3 linked regions of the Ovis aries genome follow. Each later gene encodes a partner of the first gene's protein in a complex. Links are inferred from orthologs where the notes say so. Each region holds a gene or a part of one and is shown in the gene's direction. Other genes may lie near its edges.

Region 1 (4,250 bases):
TGGCAGACTCCTTGTAACATACCAGACCCTAGATTGAGCGCTGGCGGCTCCCTAGTGAGTCACTGGCTGTCCTCCAGGAACATGCAGTTGAAGTCTTTTGCTGGTTGTGAGCAAGATAATTAAGTCCAGAGTTTGAAGGCCTACTGGGTGCCACATACTGTTCATACAAAGGACCAGATGTATTTGGGAGAATAGAGGAAATTGGTGAGAAAAGAATCAAGTGAGTAGAGCAAAGAACACACTTTTGGAGAATGCCTGTTCTTTTCACTCAGTTTGGGTTATGTTAATTCAGTTGAGTTCAGTTGCTCAGTCGTGTCCAACTCTTTGGGACCCCATGGACTGCAGCATCCCTGTCCATCACCAACTCCAGAGCCTACTCAAACTCATGTTAATCGAGTCAGTAATGCCATCCAACCATCTTATCTTCTGTCATCCCCTTCTCCTTCTGCCTTCAGTTTTTCCCAGCATCAGGGTCTTTTCTTTTCTCCCAGCATCAGGGTCTTTTCTTCATGAAAAGAAAGAACTGAGTCAGTTCTTCATGTCAGTAGGGAATCCTTTTTAAACACAGGGCTTGGCAATCAGACCAACCTGGTTTTATTTTTTTTGGTCAATTATGTGTCCTTGGGTAAGTCACTTCAATTGTCGTTGTACAGATTTCCTGTCCTTAAAATGGTGAGACTAGTGGAATCTGTCACATGCCATTGTGGAGATTCAGTAAGAAAATACACGTCATGTTTTTGCAAAGGGTCTGGCATAGAACAAGTGTATGGTAAATGGTTAACTATTATTAAGTTTCAGGCACAGCAGTGGCAATAACTAGTTTTCCCAGATTAGGAACGTGGAACGTAGTAGACCTGGAATTTAGAACTAGGTAATTGAACTCCAGAGCAGGTAGAGTTTGCTCTAGCACTGGCCCTGAACCAAGCTCTGTTCTTGGCACATAAATGGTAGCTATCACTTTATTTTTTCGTGTGCTCCGTGGGTATTGAACACATAAAAACTATTATCCGGGAAAGCTTGGCACTAAATTTTCTGCCAGGATAAGTCTCTCTCATGCAATTTTTTTGTTCAGATAATAATATCACACTCTGGGGTGTGAGAGGGTCCAGGCTTCACAGCCACGTGGGCACTGCATGGGAGCAGGGAGGCCTGCGCTGCTCCAACCGGCAGGCGGCGCTGTCCCAGAGTTACACCGCCCACTCACCCTCCCCCCCCACCCCTCAACGTGAGTCCAAATGGTTAGGCCCGCCAGGCAGGTAGTGCGCTTCCGCGGCTTTCCTCCACCCTCTCCCTTCCCCCGTTGGTAGGTGCTGCGGGTCCGGGCGGAAGTGGGGCAGGCGGGCGGGAGCAAGGCGTCGCCGTTGTATATTCATGAGGCGCGCGCAGCCCGGCATGCTAATGAGGCGGGGCGCGGCGGCGGACTGAGAAGCTGCTGGGCGGCGGCGGCGGCGGCGGCGGCAGCGGCGGGCTTGGAGCTGCCGGGCGGGAGCGGCGTGGGCGCGGGGTCACTAGCAACGCAAACCTGGACATGGAGCCGCCCGGCGGGGGCCTGGGACCCGGCCGCGGGACCCGGGACAAGAAGAAGGGCCGGAACCCGGACGAGCTGCCTTCGGCAGGCGGCGACGGCGGCAAATCCAAGAAATTTGTGAGTGTCCCTCCCACCTGGTTCCCTCAGGCTGGCCCCTTAACCGCCCTCAGGACCCCAGAGACCCCCCGCAGCTGGCCCCAGGGGTGCACGCCCGTTTCTAGGGAGCCGCCCCCGCGCCTCCCTTCCTCGTTTTGCTCGATGCTGGGCTCCGAAGCCCGACCTCCGGCCGCTCTGGGACCTCGGGAATCCCCGGAGTCCCACCCGGCTCTTGCCCTGGCAACCTCGGGGCTTTCTTCACCCCTCTTCTCCCCGCCCTCATGTTCTGCCCTTACCCGCGTAGCCCTGGACAGTCTCAGCCCTATCTCTTCCCTCTCAGCCCCACTTCCTTTCTTCTTCCTCCGTTACCCGAACACGCCTTCTCTATCTCTAGCCTCAGTGCTTTTCTGGGTCCGTTTTCTCTTATTACCCTTCCCCCCTTTTTTGGTATCTTCTTATTTGCTTCTCCAAAGGTCACTTCCTTCCCCAGGCTTGATCCCTTTCACCTGCTAACTTTGCTCCCGCCCAGTCCCCTCTCTGGGCCCTCAGCCCGGTGTCACCTGATAATCCTTCCCCTCAGGAATGTTACCTGACTTGGGCCCTACCTTCCCTCTTCCCTTGGACGTTTGTCCTTGTGACTGCAGAAAGGGGTTCCTGCCCAGTTCCTGTGGTCGTTGGGTATGACGGTAGTTGACTTTCCAGTATTTCCCCATCCAGAACACCTGTCTCTTTGCTCTGTTGCTAATCGGTCACTTGTCAGGGGATTGGAACTTCTCTCAAGAATATGCCCTTCTTGACTTAAGAGTGGTGATCACCCTACCCCACGGGGAAGAAGTTGGACTAAAAAGGTCCAGAAGTTTTTGAGTACCTGATTATAACTGTCTTCTGTGCGTTTTCATGATAACAATCTCCTCAGCTCTTCTGCTACCTCCTGTGCTCCAGGGCTACTGATAACCTTTTTCCCGACCTGTAGAAGAGTCGGGTTTTCCTCAGGTGCCAGTTACTTCCAGTCTGAAAGGATATTGGTATTCGTGTAACACCGTGGTATCTTATTATCTTTGCCTACACTGAATGTTGGTTTTTACGCTATCGAGGGAAAGATAGGAGGCGCTGTCCAAGATAGGGCGTCTTGGATCTTAATAACCTTTCCTAACTAGTTTTGTAGTCTCTCCCAGGTAATTAACTCCGCGCCTCGGTGTCTTCTTTCTACTAACCAAATGGTTTCTAACTTTCCCTCTTTCTCTTATCCCCACCCATTAGCATTCTGACGCAGCTCCACAAGTTTGGGAAGAAAACTGAGAAAGTGATGAAAACAGGAAGATAATGTTGCTTTGGGACGTTGAGGGTTGAGATGTGGAGAGTACTGAACAGATTTAAAATAGTGACTCATCTCTTCCTACCTATTTCCATCAAGACAGGTGCTTCTGGACTGTCTTATCCAGTGACTATAGGCTGTCAAGTCAGTGCCTGTTTTTATCTGGTGACTGTCTTTTCCCCCCCAGAAATGTGGGTTTAATAGTAGTGACAACCTTCCCTCACTGGTGATCAAAGCAACATTCTCCTAGGTTTCTTTAGGATAAGCATGACACTCTAGTTAGGGAGCTTTCCTGCGAAGTCTTAAGCTTTAGGGCCCGTGTATCTTCTATTTCTGTATCCTTTTGTTTTGCTTTTGTTTCCATGGGTACTATTTGACCTTACTCACCCGAATTCCAGCTATTTTTGCTGATTTATAGTGACCTTTGTGACTTGTAAATGTTTTTCAAGTTCTAAATGGAATTTTATGTGTGCTTGTTGTATCTAACATGAGTTTCACCAATTTGTGAATTCTGCGAAGTATTTGGGGCTGAACAGTGAGATACCTGAGGAAATTCAACTTCTTTTCACCTGTTTTTTGGAATGTCCATGGAGTCTTGTGTATGCTGAGTGGATTTGGCTCAGAGTTGGTATTTGCTTTAGGGAGGGTGGAGCTGAACCAAGTTCTCTTTTTCTTTTGAGGTGTTTTTCTTAACTCTTAATCTGCTGAATTTTTAGAAAATATGTACACACACAGATAGTGAGAATTGCATTCCTGGCTGAGGGATTGGTAGGTTTCCAGGAAAGTAGTGCTGTTTAACCCCTTTACTGCCAGCTGTACCATACCTCAAGGCTTTACCATAGTCTGTCTTTCTCGTTGCTTTTTATGTAAGAACTCTGTGGAAATGAGAGCCTAGGAGGAGCATTGCAATCCACTTCTCTTTGTGTCTGTGTATGTATATGGGGGTGGTAGAGTGGGCGAGATTGCTGGTTTGCATTTGTTACCCATGGCTTAGTTTCCTTGAACTGTAGGCTAAAAGTGAAGTCAAAAGGGTTTCGCCTACTCCACCTTTTCTAGTGTGTGTCCTCGGGAACTCCATTAAGAATACATTTTATAAAACTGTGCTCGTTTGGACTGAGTGTGCCTGAAGATTATTTGTTTGCATCTGAGGAGTTACTAATCCCTTTAGCTGCTGTATACCTTTCCAAGCTTATGCGGTTCTAAGTGTAGATCAACTGATGAGAAAACAGAACTCACAAGTTACCAAAGATTTGCTCTTTACTCTCTGAGGTAGCTTGTGTGGAAAGCACACAAGGAGCCTAAGTTGAAAAA
Region 2 (4,299 bases), on another chromosome or scaffold:
AGCCCGCTTTGAGAAGATGCGCTCCGCCCGGCGGCGCCAGCAACATCAGAGCTACTCGTGAGCCCTTTGCCACCACACCCCTGGGGCTCCTCTGCCTCCCTCATCCCCAGACTCCCAGACCAGGCCGGTAATTTCTGAGACACTGATTGCCACCCCTAGCCCTGGCTCCTTTCTCTGGGATTCTGACCCTTGACCCCGACTCTCACCCCAAACCATTCTGACTACCTTGGGGGCCCCTACTTAGCTTACTTCCACCCCAAGATGGGGAACCTGCTCTCTCTGGAATCCCTCAACCCACTTCCCTGGGGTCTTGGCTCTGGAACCCCAATCCTGGCTCTCTCTCCCATGCCTACCACTGTCTTCTCCGCTGAGCTTGGCTCCCCTCTCTTCACCCTCCTTTTAGGTCCTTGGAGTCTCGAGGCTGAAACCACAGATCTGGACTCTCACCCCCTCCCCTGTACAGTATTTATTGTCACCAACTCCTTATTTAAAGATCTTTGACCCTCCTTGAGTGTCTGTGTCTGTCCTGCATCCACGGGTTGGAGTGTCTGGAGATGTGGGAGGGAGAGAAGCTGAGGTCGAGACCAGACCCTTTTCAGGGTCTGAGAGCGGAACTTGAGACTTTTCGCCAGGTCCGAAGACAGAGGCTGGCCGGTTTCCCAACCATAAGTCCAGGATGGAGGCTGGGACCTGATCTGGGTCTGAGCGCGGGATCAGAGCTGAAGACAACTCCCCCCTACCCTTCCGAGATTCTGAGGGCGGAAACCAAGCCCCCTTTCTCTATAGCTGGTCTGACAGAGGAGTCCTGAAACGCGCCAGAGTCAGTGGGCGGCCTCTGTGTGGGCGGGGCGGAGCGAACCATTAGCCTAGTCCGCCGGGGGAGCCCTGCCGGCCGCGCAATAGTCTGCGCGAGAGGTGGGGGTGCCACGTGCAGTTTCCGAGGCGGGCTCATGGGGTGCAGAGTAAGGTGCACTCGCCGACCAGGCATTCATCCCACCTTATAACCCGAGCGCGTGTCTCCGGGAGCCGCCCCCATCTTAAAAGCCATCTTTTACTCCCACCTCGCCGCCCGCCCAACCCTCCTGTCCCGTGCGGCGCGAGGGCAGGCGCGCGCCACCGCCGGAATCCGGGGTCGCGACTGGCGTTCCACGCCGCGCGCCACTCGCTCCAGGTGACATCATCCCCATGCCGGGCTCCGCCTCCCGCCCCAGCCGCCTCACGCCGCGTGCCTATTGGCCGACCCGCCTTAGCCCCGCCTCTCGCTCTCCGCCCGCGCGACCCCTCCCAGGCAGTGCGGGGGCGGGGCCTAACCGCCGGCCGGCTTCGACACCGCCTCCCATTGGCCACTCGGCGCCGTCTGTCTGTCTCCTGTTAAAGGGGCCACGACCGCCCCAGCGCTGGTTGCGGGGGGGAGGAGGGAGGAGGAATTTTTTGGCGGGGGAAGGTGGGATTTGGGGGGCGCTGGTGAGCACCCCTAGATCTGGTGGCTGCGGCCTCGCGGGGGGAGGCTGAACGGTGACAGGGGCAGGGGGCTATTTTAGGGGGTAAAGGGCTGTTAGACCGTGAAGGGGAGGGGGACCCCAGCGCCCAAGCCGGAGCAAGAGACGCGGAGCCCGCGCGAGCCGCGGAGACTGGGCTCCAGAGCTACAGATCCGGGCCCCGGCCGCCGCCAGGGGCCCCGCCCGGTCCCCCCACCCCACCCCCACGTCCCTCCTGCAGCCCAGCTCCGCCCGCAGCCGCCGCGGACCAGGTAGGTAAGAGCCCAGCCCGGCCCGCCTGGCAGCGCCCACCCGGGGGACCCCTCGCCGAGCTTCCCCCGCCTCTCCGAGAACCTGGATTCTCTTCTCCTCCGAGGACCTCACAGCCCAGATTTCACAGCCCGACCCCAGAGACTCAGGCGTGTCCCTCCCAGCTCTCAGAGTCACCAACCGAACCCTAGGATCCCAGGCGTACTGCCGCCTTGCGCCTCCTCCAGGGCCCGGGAGCCTTAATTTCCCAGGTCAGCCCCGGGAACCCCCTCTGGACCAAGATCCTCCTCCTCGGCCCAGTCCTGGGAGATCGACACCGACCAAGGCTGTGTCAGACTCCCCCAGCTAGAGCCGCCGGCCCCCCCTCCCTCGGTCGCGTCGGCATAGTCCCCCATTCGGGGACCCAGTCAGCCCATCTCCGGTCCTCCGGCTTGTACAGCCGGCCGAGTCCCTCGGTCCAGGCCGGCTCAGCGGCCGCCCTGGACACAGGCCCGCTCTGGAGCTGTCCATGGTCACCATTCTCGGCAGCCTTGTCTCCCCCACCTCCCGCTGCCGCCGCCGGGGAGGGGGCGCCGGCGGCGCGGGGATCCCCCTCGCCGCGCCTTTGACCCGGGAATACCCAGGCCCTCCCCGACCTGGGCGCCCGGGCCTCAGGATTCCTCTGGCCAGGCTCTCAGCCCCATCCTCAGCACCCCAGTTGCGGTGACCCCAGCTGCTATTTGAGGAGTCGTGGCTTCTGAATGTTCTTGCCTGGTCCACCTTAGGGATCTTGGAATCCGAGGATCCAGATCCTACCCGGGTCTGGAAGCCTTGTCAGTCCTCACTTCCTCTGGCTAGAGGCCCCAGCTGGTAGCCTTCACCACTCCAGGAAGGAATCCAGTTTCCCAGCCTTTGCCCCTTTAGAGACCCAGTTCAAAGCCCTGTTCCCCTGCAATAAATATACCCAGCCTCCTGGCACCCCAGCATCTGCCCCCTTAGGGATTCAGGCGCCATGATTCCTCCCTTTCAGGGGCTCAGAATGCAATTCTTAATGCAATTCGCTGGCTTCTGCCCGTCCTCCCCGTTGAAGACCTAAATGCCCTGTCCCTGATCCTGTCTCCCCTCAGCGACCCAGGAATTCAGACCCCACCTTCTGTACTGCTCATCAAAGCCATCTACCCCTGCCCTCCCTTCCAACAAGGACTCAGGCTCCAAACTTCCATCTCCTGTCTTTTGCCTCCACAAAGATTCAGGAGTCCAGTTCCTCAACTCTGACCTCCAAAGTATCTAGCTGCTCAGCTGTTACTCTTAGGGACCCAAGTCCCTACAGCCTCACTATTGCCCATCAACTCTGGTGGCCTTGAAAAACCCCTGCCTCATCCCCTTATCAGCTCAGATTTTGGGCTTCCTGGGGTTTCCAATATTTTCCCCTGAGACCCAGGTTCTTGAGATGCTTCCAGCACCCCATCATGATGTTTTCATATCGTGATGCCCCATCCTTCAAGTACATTCTCAGATTGATAAACCGAGCATACATCCCTTTCTCCAGATGTGCTCTGTGACCTAGGTTCATTTCGTGATCTAGAATTGCCTTCCGTATTTCCAACTAAACAGGCACACTGGCAGTGCTTCGTGGAATTATTTCTAAATCCTAGAATATTCTCAGTGAACATCTCTGTTCCTTTTTCACCCAAGGTATGTTCTAAATTCTAGGTTAGATGCTAAATTCGAGTCATGATATTCCCCAGGTAAATTCAAATTTCTGATTAGTGCTCCCAAGCCAAGCTGCCAAGCCCACTTTCCTCCCCTTAGATATGTTCCTTCCTCCCCCCACCACTTTCTCCCCCACAGATCTTAGTTCCCTGACCAGGGATCCAACCCAGGCCCCAGCAGTGAAAGTGCCTAGTCCTAACCACTGGACCGCCAAGTAATTCCTGACATATTCCAATTTTTAAGAAGCCAGTCTTTGCTTATTTTCTTTTAAAATTTCATTTTGGGTGTGTTCTAGGTTCTAGCCACATCCTTGGCAATGTTCTAGATTCTGTTCTTTTCCCAGGGGCATTCTCAGTGCTAGAATGTGTGTGTGTGTTCCATTTATGGGCTGTAGCTTTTCTCCAAACTGCGTTATCAGTTCTAGAATATGTTTCCGCATTTCATTTTATTTATTTTTGGGCTTTGCTGTGAGGTATGGGGGATCTTAGGTCCCCAACCAGGGATCGAACCTACACCCCCTGCAGTGAAACGGCAGAGTCTTGACCACTGGACCACCAGGGAAGTCTCTGAACCTCCCTATTTTATATACCATCCAGTTCTACAGTCTTAAGTCCCCAGGATTACACTGCACCTTCCTTCTTCAGGTTCTGTATTCTAAGCCCATCCATCCCCACCTTCTCTGTCTATCTTTTCCCCCAGTGTGACCTTGGCTCAGAACTTGTCCCCTGGTGGACTGTGGGCTTCTTCCATCTGCCACTTCAGCATTCTAAACATGCTCTAGGCCCTCTCTTGTTCTGGAGTCTTCAGCCTAGAAATGTCCTCATTTCTAGAACACACCACCCCCACCCCCAGCTCCTTT
Region 3 (4,174 bases), on another chromosome or scaffold:
ATTGAAAATCAACTTTTTCAAAAACGCTTTGAGACGCTCTCTTCCCTTCACTGACAGATCGTTTAGTTCATTTAAAATCGAAATTGTGGGAAGTCTCCTAATCCTTTGCATAGTCATAACGCCCAGCGGTTACTAAAGACCACGCAATATTCACAGGGACTCTACCCATGTTTTACCACCTAAATACAAGCCATTCTCCGATCTGGGTCCCGAAATTAGTTTAGCTTTTGAGAGTAGAAATACTAACATGTTCATACAACGAACCCGTTCTTAGATTTTTAAATTCTTTATATATTCAGATTTCTTCGACCCACCAGTAATATTCCGTTACCAACCAATAGTTTTACATTGCTAGCTATTTGTTTCCTTCGGAATTTACGAGCAATTTAGCCGCTTTAAGACAGGGGAAGAGAGGATCTTCCTATCAAGGAACCCACACAATGAGAGGCCTTTGGTACCCAAATGAAGCAACAATGAAAGACCAGCAAAGCTCAGAAATGTTCCTGAAAGCCAAGAATGCCACTCTGATTTCAGATTGCTGGAGTGCGCCCGCCTGGTAGCCTTTGTGGCCGAGAGGTCCAGAGAAGAGGGTCCCACTGAGGATGCCTAAGATGACAGTGGCCGACTCTGCTACCCGCCCGCCGGGACCACAAAGAGGAGTTAACGCTCCGCATCCCGTCACCAGGGCAACTCTGCAATCCGACACCGAGGCGCAAGATTCCGCATCCCGAGCCGCCGGCCGCAGGACCGAGGCGTTTCACAGCCCGGACGCGGGGACTCCGAGGCTCCCCAGACGCCGCCGTCCCAGGGGTACTGAGTGCAACTCGAGAGACGCCCTCTCCGTAGGCCCGGGGTCCGAGGCTCAGCCACCCTCAACCACCCGCCTCACTCAGACCTCGCCGGCCGCACGTGGCGCCGTGATTGCCCCGGGCAGTATCCCTCCGCGGCCGCGCCCCCGCTCAGTCTCCCCCTCCCTTCTCGGGACCCTCAGAGTCAGGGCGCCGCGGAAGGATCGCACGCACGCGCGCGCGCACGCCCCGCCGGAACGGCGGAGAGCTAAGGGAGCCACAGTGAGGAGTAGTCTCCAGCGCCGTCGCCGGCACTGCCGCTCCGCAGCCTGCCGCCGCTAGTTAATCAGCCCCGCGGTCGCGGGCGGGAGGGCGGCCGGGCCGGGCGCGCTCCGCGGCTTGTCCCTCACCGCCGTCCCCGCGTCCTCCCTCCGCAGCTCCTCGGGGAGGGGGGCGGTCGGTGCTTGCGCAGAGCCGCCTCCTCTCCGCCCCCGCCCCGCCTCCCCCCGCGCCGCCGCCGCCCGCGACCGCCGCCGTCGCCGCCGCTGCGCCTGCTGCTCCTTGCCGTCCCCGCTGCAGTGCGAAGGGCTCGAAGATGGCCGGTTGGCAGAGCTACGTGGATAACCTGATGTGCGATGGCTGCTGCCAGGAGGCCGCCATTGTCGGCTACTGCGACGCCAAATACGTCTGGGCAGCCACGGCCGGGGGCGTCTTCCAGAGCATTACGGTGAGGACCGGCGGGGACCTGGGTACCCGGCCCCGGACCCATGCGGGGCCGGCCGTGGGGGCGCCGCAGCGCGGGGCCGGACTCGGGCAGGGCCGCGCCGGCAGGTGTGAGGAGCGGCGGGCGCCGAGGATGCGGCTACCGGGCGGGCGGAGAGGCCGAGGCCCGGGGACGCCCCCTCGCAGGGGCTGCGCTGAGTGGCGGGGGCGGCGGCCGGGCTCGCCGGCGTTCCCACAGCTTGTCCGGATGAGGCTGGGGGAGGGGGTACGCACCGGTTCGTGGGTGGGGGGCCTTTTCCCTTTTCTCGCCCCCGCCCTGGGGTCCCCTGGAAGCCCTGAGGTTTGCTTTGTACATTCCCGGGTGGAAGCGGGGACCGGAGGAGCCGGGCTGGGGCGCGGGTCCTCGGGTGGTCTAGCCGCCCCTAGCTCCTCCGGTGACGGCGCGCCGCCCGCGCCGCGAGCTGTGGGAGGCGGCGGCTGCCCGGCCCCCAGGATCCTCGCGGCCACTTGGCGTAGATTTGCCGGTGTCCAGGCCTCTTGGGCTTGCGAGAAATGAACGCAGACAACGTAGGTGGATTCGTGAATCTCTGGCTCCATAGGATTTTTTTTTTTTTTTTAATTCTCCAAGATGGCGATCTGCCATTGATTTCTTTCCTATGGAGATTCATCGATATACCGTTATCCCCAGTTACGCAACAGAGTTCTAAAAAAAGGGGGTGCTTGGGGCTTTCAATAATCTGCGAAGACCGAGGGGATGTTCAGTTCTCCAAGTCCCTCCCTCTTTAGTGATCTTCGTAAGGGAACTAATGCAGATTAATGCTTCCCGGTGCCTGATTTTCTTGTGACTTGGTGGTTTGACTCGGTTGCCACATGTTTGGGGAATAACTGTCAATAAGCCCTCCAGTGCTGCTTTATTGTTTTGCCTCTTTCTGCACAAGGGTCTAAAATGGTGACATTATATCAAATACAGGACCATTCTCTTAATTTCCTACGCTTCACGCCCCCTTCCTATCAAATGCCAAAATTCAGGCCCCTTTACTATGGGTGCTACTAATTATTCTTGTACTGCTTAACATGTTTAAGGTCTAACTGTGTAGAACTCCTGATCCAGGTACTTTCCGGCTCTCTGTTGCCGCAGTGGACTACAAATCTTACAGAGAATTGCCGTCTGGCGATCAACTTTTTTCCTGCAGTCCTCTTGTCTTTGTGTGTGAGTTCCCGCTGTTTGGCTGGGAAGATTGCGGGAGTGTGCTTGGAAATGGCTGGGGCCTGCTATGACTCTGCAGTTCTGATGGGGGCGACGCCTTCCTTCTTATTCATGGAATGTTAGAATGCACGTTTTCTCCTTTCCGGTTCTGGTCGCTACCTCAGTTTCTTTCCCACTCTCCCTCCATTTTCTCTGTTCTTTTATGGTTGCTTATTGCAGCGCTACAGACAGAATCCTCTTTGCATTTGCCCAGAAAGAAAACTGATTACTTAGGAGGGAGGGGAAGGAAAGTTGGAGAGGGAGTAGCAGCGAAAATAAAAGAGGAGGGAAATATGAATTTGGGGATGCGCTGAGATTCAGGGCTTGAAGTTCATACTAGGGGGGTATGTCAAGCTATTTGAAGCAGAGTAGATGTAACCAGATCTGCCAAGCATGGGCTTTGTTCCAGGAGACTTTCAAACAACTTTAAGTTTGATATGACAAGACTGTTACGTGATTGTGATAGGTAAGATTTTGTTGAAAGTTTCTGGGTGAATCTTTACCATTACATAAGCACTTCGGGTACCACCTGACTTGAAACAAGTTTATAAATAACTCTTAAGTTTGTAGTTTATCTAGTGTCATCTACTAACTGGAGATTCTTTGCATAGACTGGGCTTAGTTAACAGACCACTCTCTTAACTGTGAAATCTAACTGATATAAAATGTCATCCCGTTTAAGATTAAGTTATTTTTTAGAAATGACTGAAACTTGGTTTTACATTAATGAAATGTGGATGTCTTGTAGTGGTAGTACAAACTTGACACTTTTCCTGTTATACCAGGACAAGAAATTAACTAAAACTTTTTGTTTTGTTTTCTCTCTCTCTCTCTCTTTTTTTTTTTTTTTTTTTTGTGGTTGGGGGCGGGGGCAGCCAGTAGAAATAGATATGATTGTAGGAAAAGACCGGGAAGGTTTCTTTACCAATGGTTTGACTCTTGGTGCAAAGAAGTGCTCAGTGATCAGAGATAGCCTATACGTGGATGGTGACTGCACAATGGACATCCGGACAAAGAGTCAAGGTGGGGAGCCAACATACAACGTTGCCGTCGGCAGAGCTGGTAGAGGTGAGTACAGTACCCTTTTGGTTAATAGTTGCAAGTCACATTACAACTTATTCAGCAGTTTCTTTAACATTTTGAATAAAGTGTTAGTCCATAATGGCTATTAAGGTGGTTTTTGTGAACTGCCGAGCACTGAAGGAGGCACTGCTTTAGATTCATTTGCTCTACAGCAGCTGCATATACAGCCTCACCTCTGAGATCCTGACTTTATGCTGAAAATAGAATATTAATATCAGTTCTTCAGTTCCAGCTTTAGTAAACTGAAAGTCTAAATTTGTCTCTTCTGTATGTATAACTGAACCACTTTACACTTGAAATTAAGTTAATCAACTATAATATAAAGTAAAAAGTT

Evidence for each region. Proteins that work in one complex are often made in the same cells at the same time.
Region 2: the proteins of DIAPH1 (region 1) and PPFIA3 are in contact, whole or in part, in a crystal structure (PDB 4UWX), measured with the Mus musculus proteins. The link is inferred for Ovis aries from reciprocal best matches to the Homo sapiens genes DIAPH1 and PPFIA3. Residues at the interface, in NP_031884.1 of Mus musculus: Lys252, Ser255, Ala256, Ile259, Gln307, Asn310, Ala311, Thr314, Pro315, Ala316, Glu317, Arg322, Gln352, Cys354, Val355, Glu358, Gln359, Glu362; in NP_084017.2 of Mus musculus: Pro719, Arg720, Arg723, Leu724, Arg726, Met727, Ala728, Ala730, Leu731.
Region 3: the proteins of DIAPH1 (region 1) and PFN2 are in contact, whole or in part, in a crystal structure (PDB 2V8F), measured with the Mus musculus proteins. The link is inferred for Ovis aries from reciprocal best matches to the Homo sapiens genes DIAPH1 and PFN2. Residues at the interface, in NP_031884.1 of Mus musculus: Ile635, Pro636, Pro637, Pro638, Pro639, Pro640, Leu641; in NP_062283.1 of Mus musculus: Ala2, Gly3, Trp4, Ser6, Tyr7, Asn10, Ala28, Tyr30, Trp32, Arg108, Met131, Tyr134, Leu135, Ser138, Phe140.

What each region holds. Positions count from the first base shown.
Region 1 is NC_056058.1:50,368,651-50,372,900, reverse strand, and holds the start of DIAPH1 (protein diaphanous homolog 1), read left to right. Parts: upstream 1-1,397; 5' UTR 1,398-1,528; coding exon 1,529-1,645; intron 1,646-4,250. UniProt on the Homo sapiens protein: Actin nucleation and elongation factor required for the assembly of F-actin structures, such as actin cables and stress fibers. Binds to the barbed end of the actin filament and slows down actin polymerization and depolymerization.
Region 2 is NC_056067.1:55,370,196-55,374,494, forward strand, and holds the start of PPFIA3 (liprin-alpha-3), read left to right. Parts: upstream 1-1,476; 5' UTR 1,477-1,750; intron 1,751-2,308; exon of another isoform or gene 2,309-4,299. Other genes in the region: LIN7B (protein lin-7 homolog B), read left to right, coding at 1-57, 404-425. UniProt on the Homo sapiens protein: May regulate the disassembly of focal adhesions. May localize receptor-like tyrosine phosphatases type 2A at specific sites on the plasma membrane, possibly regulating their interaction with the extracellular environment and their association with substrates.
Region 3 is NC_056054.1:238,933,158-238,937,331, forward strand, and holds the start of PFN2 (profilin-2), read left to right. Parts: upstream 1-1,351; 5' UTR 1,352-1,383; coding exon 1,384-1,515; intron 1,516-3,632; coding exon 3,633-3,929; 3' UTR 3,930-4,174. UniProt on the Homo sapiens protein: Binds to actin and affects the structure of the cytoskeleton. At high concentrations, profilin prevents the polymerization of actin, whereas it enhances it at low concentrations. By binding to PIP2, it inhibits the formation of IP3 and DG.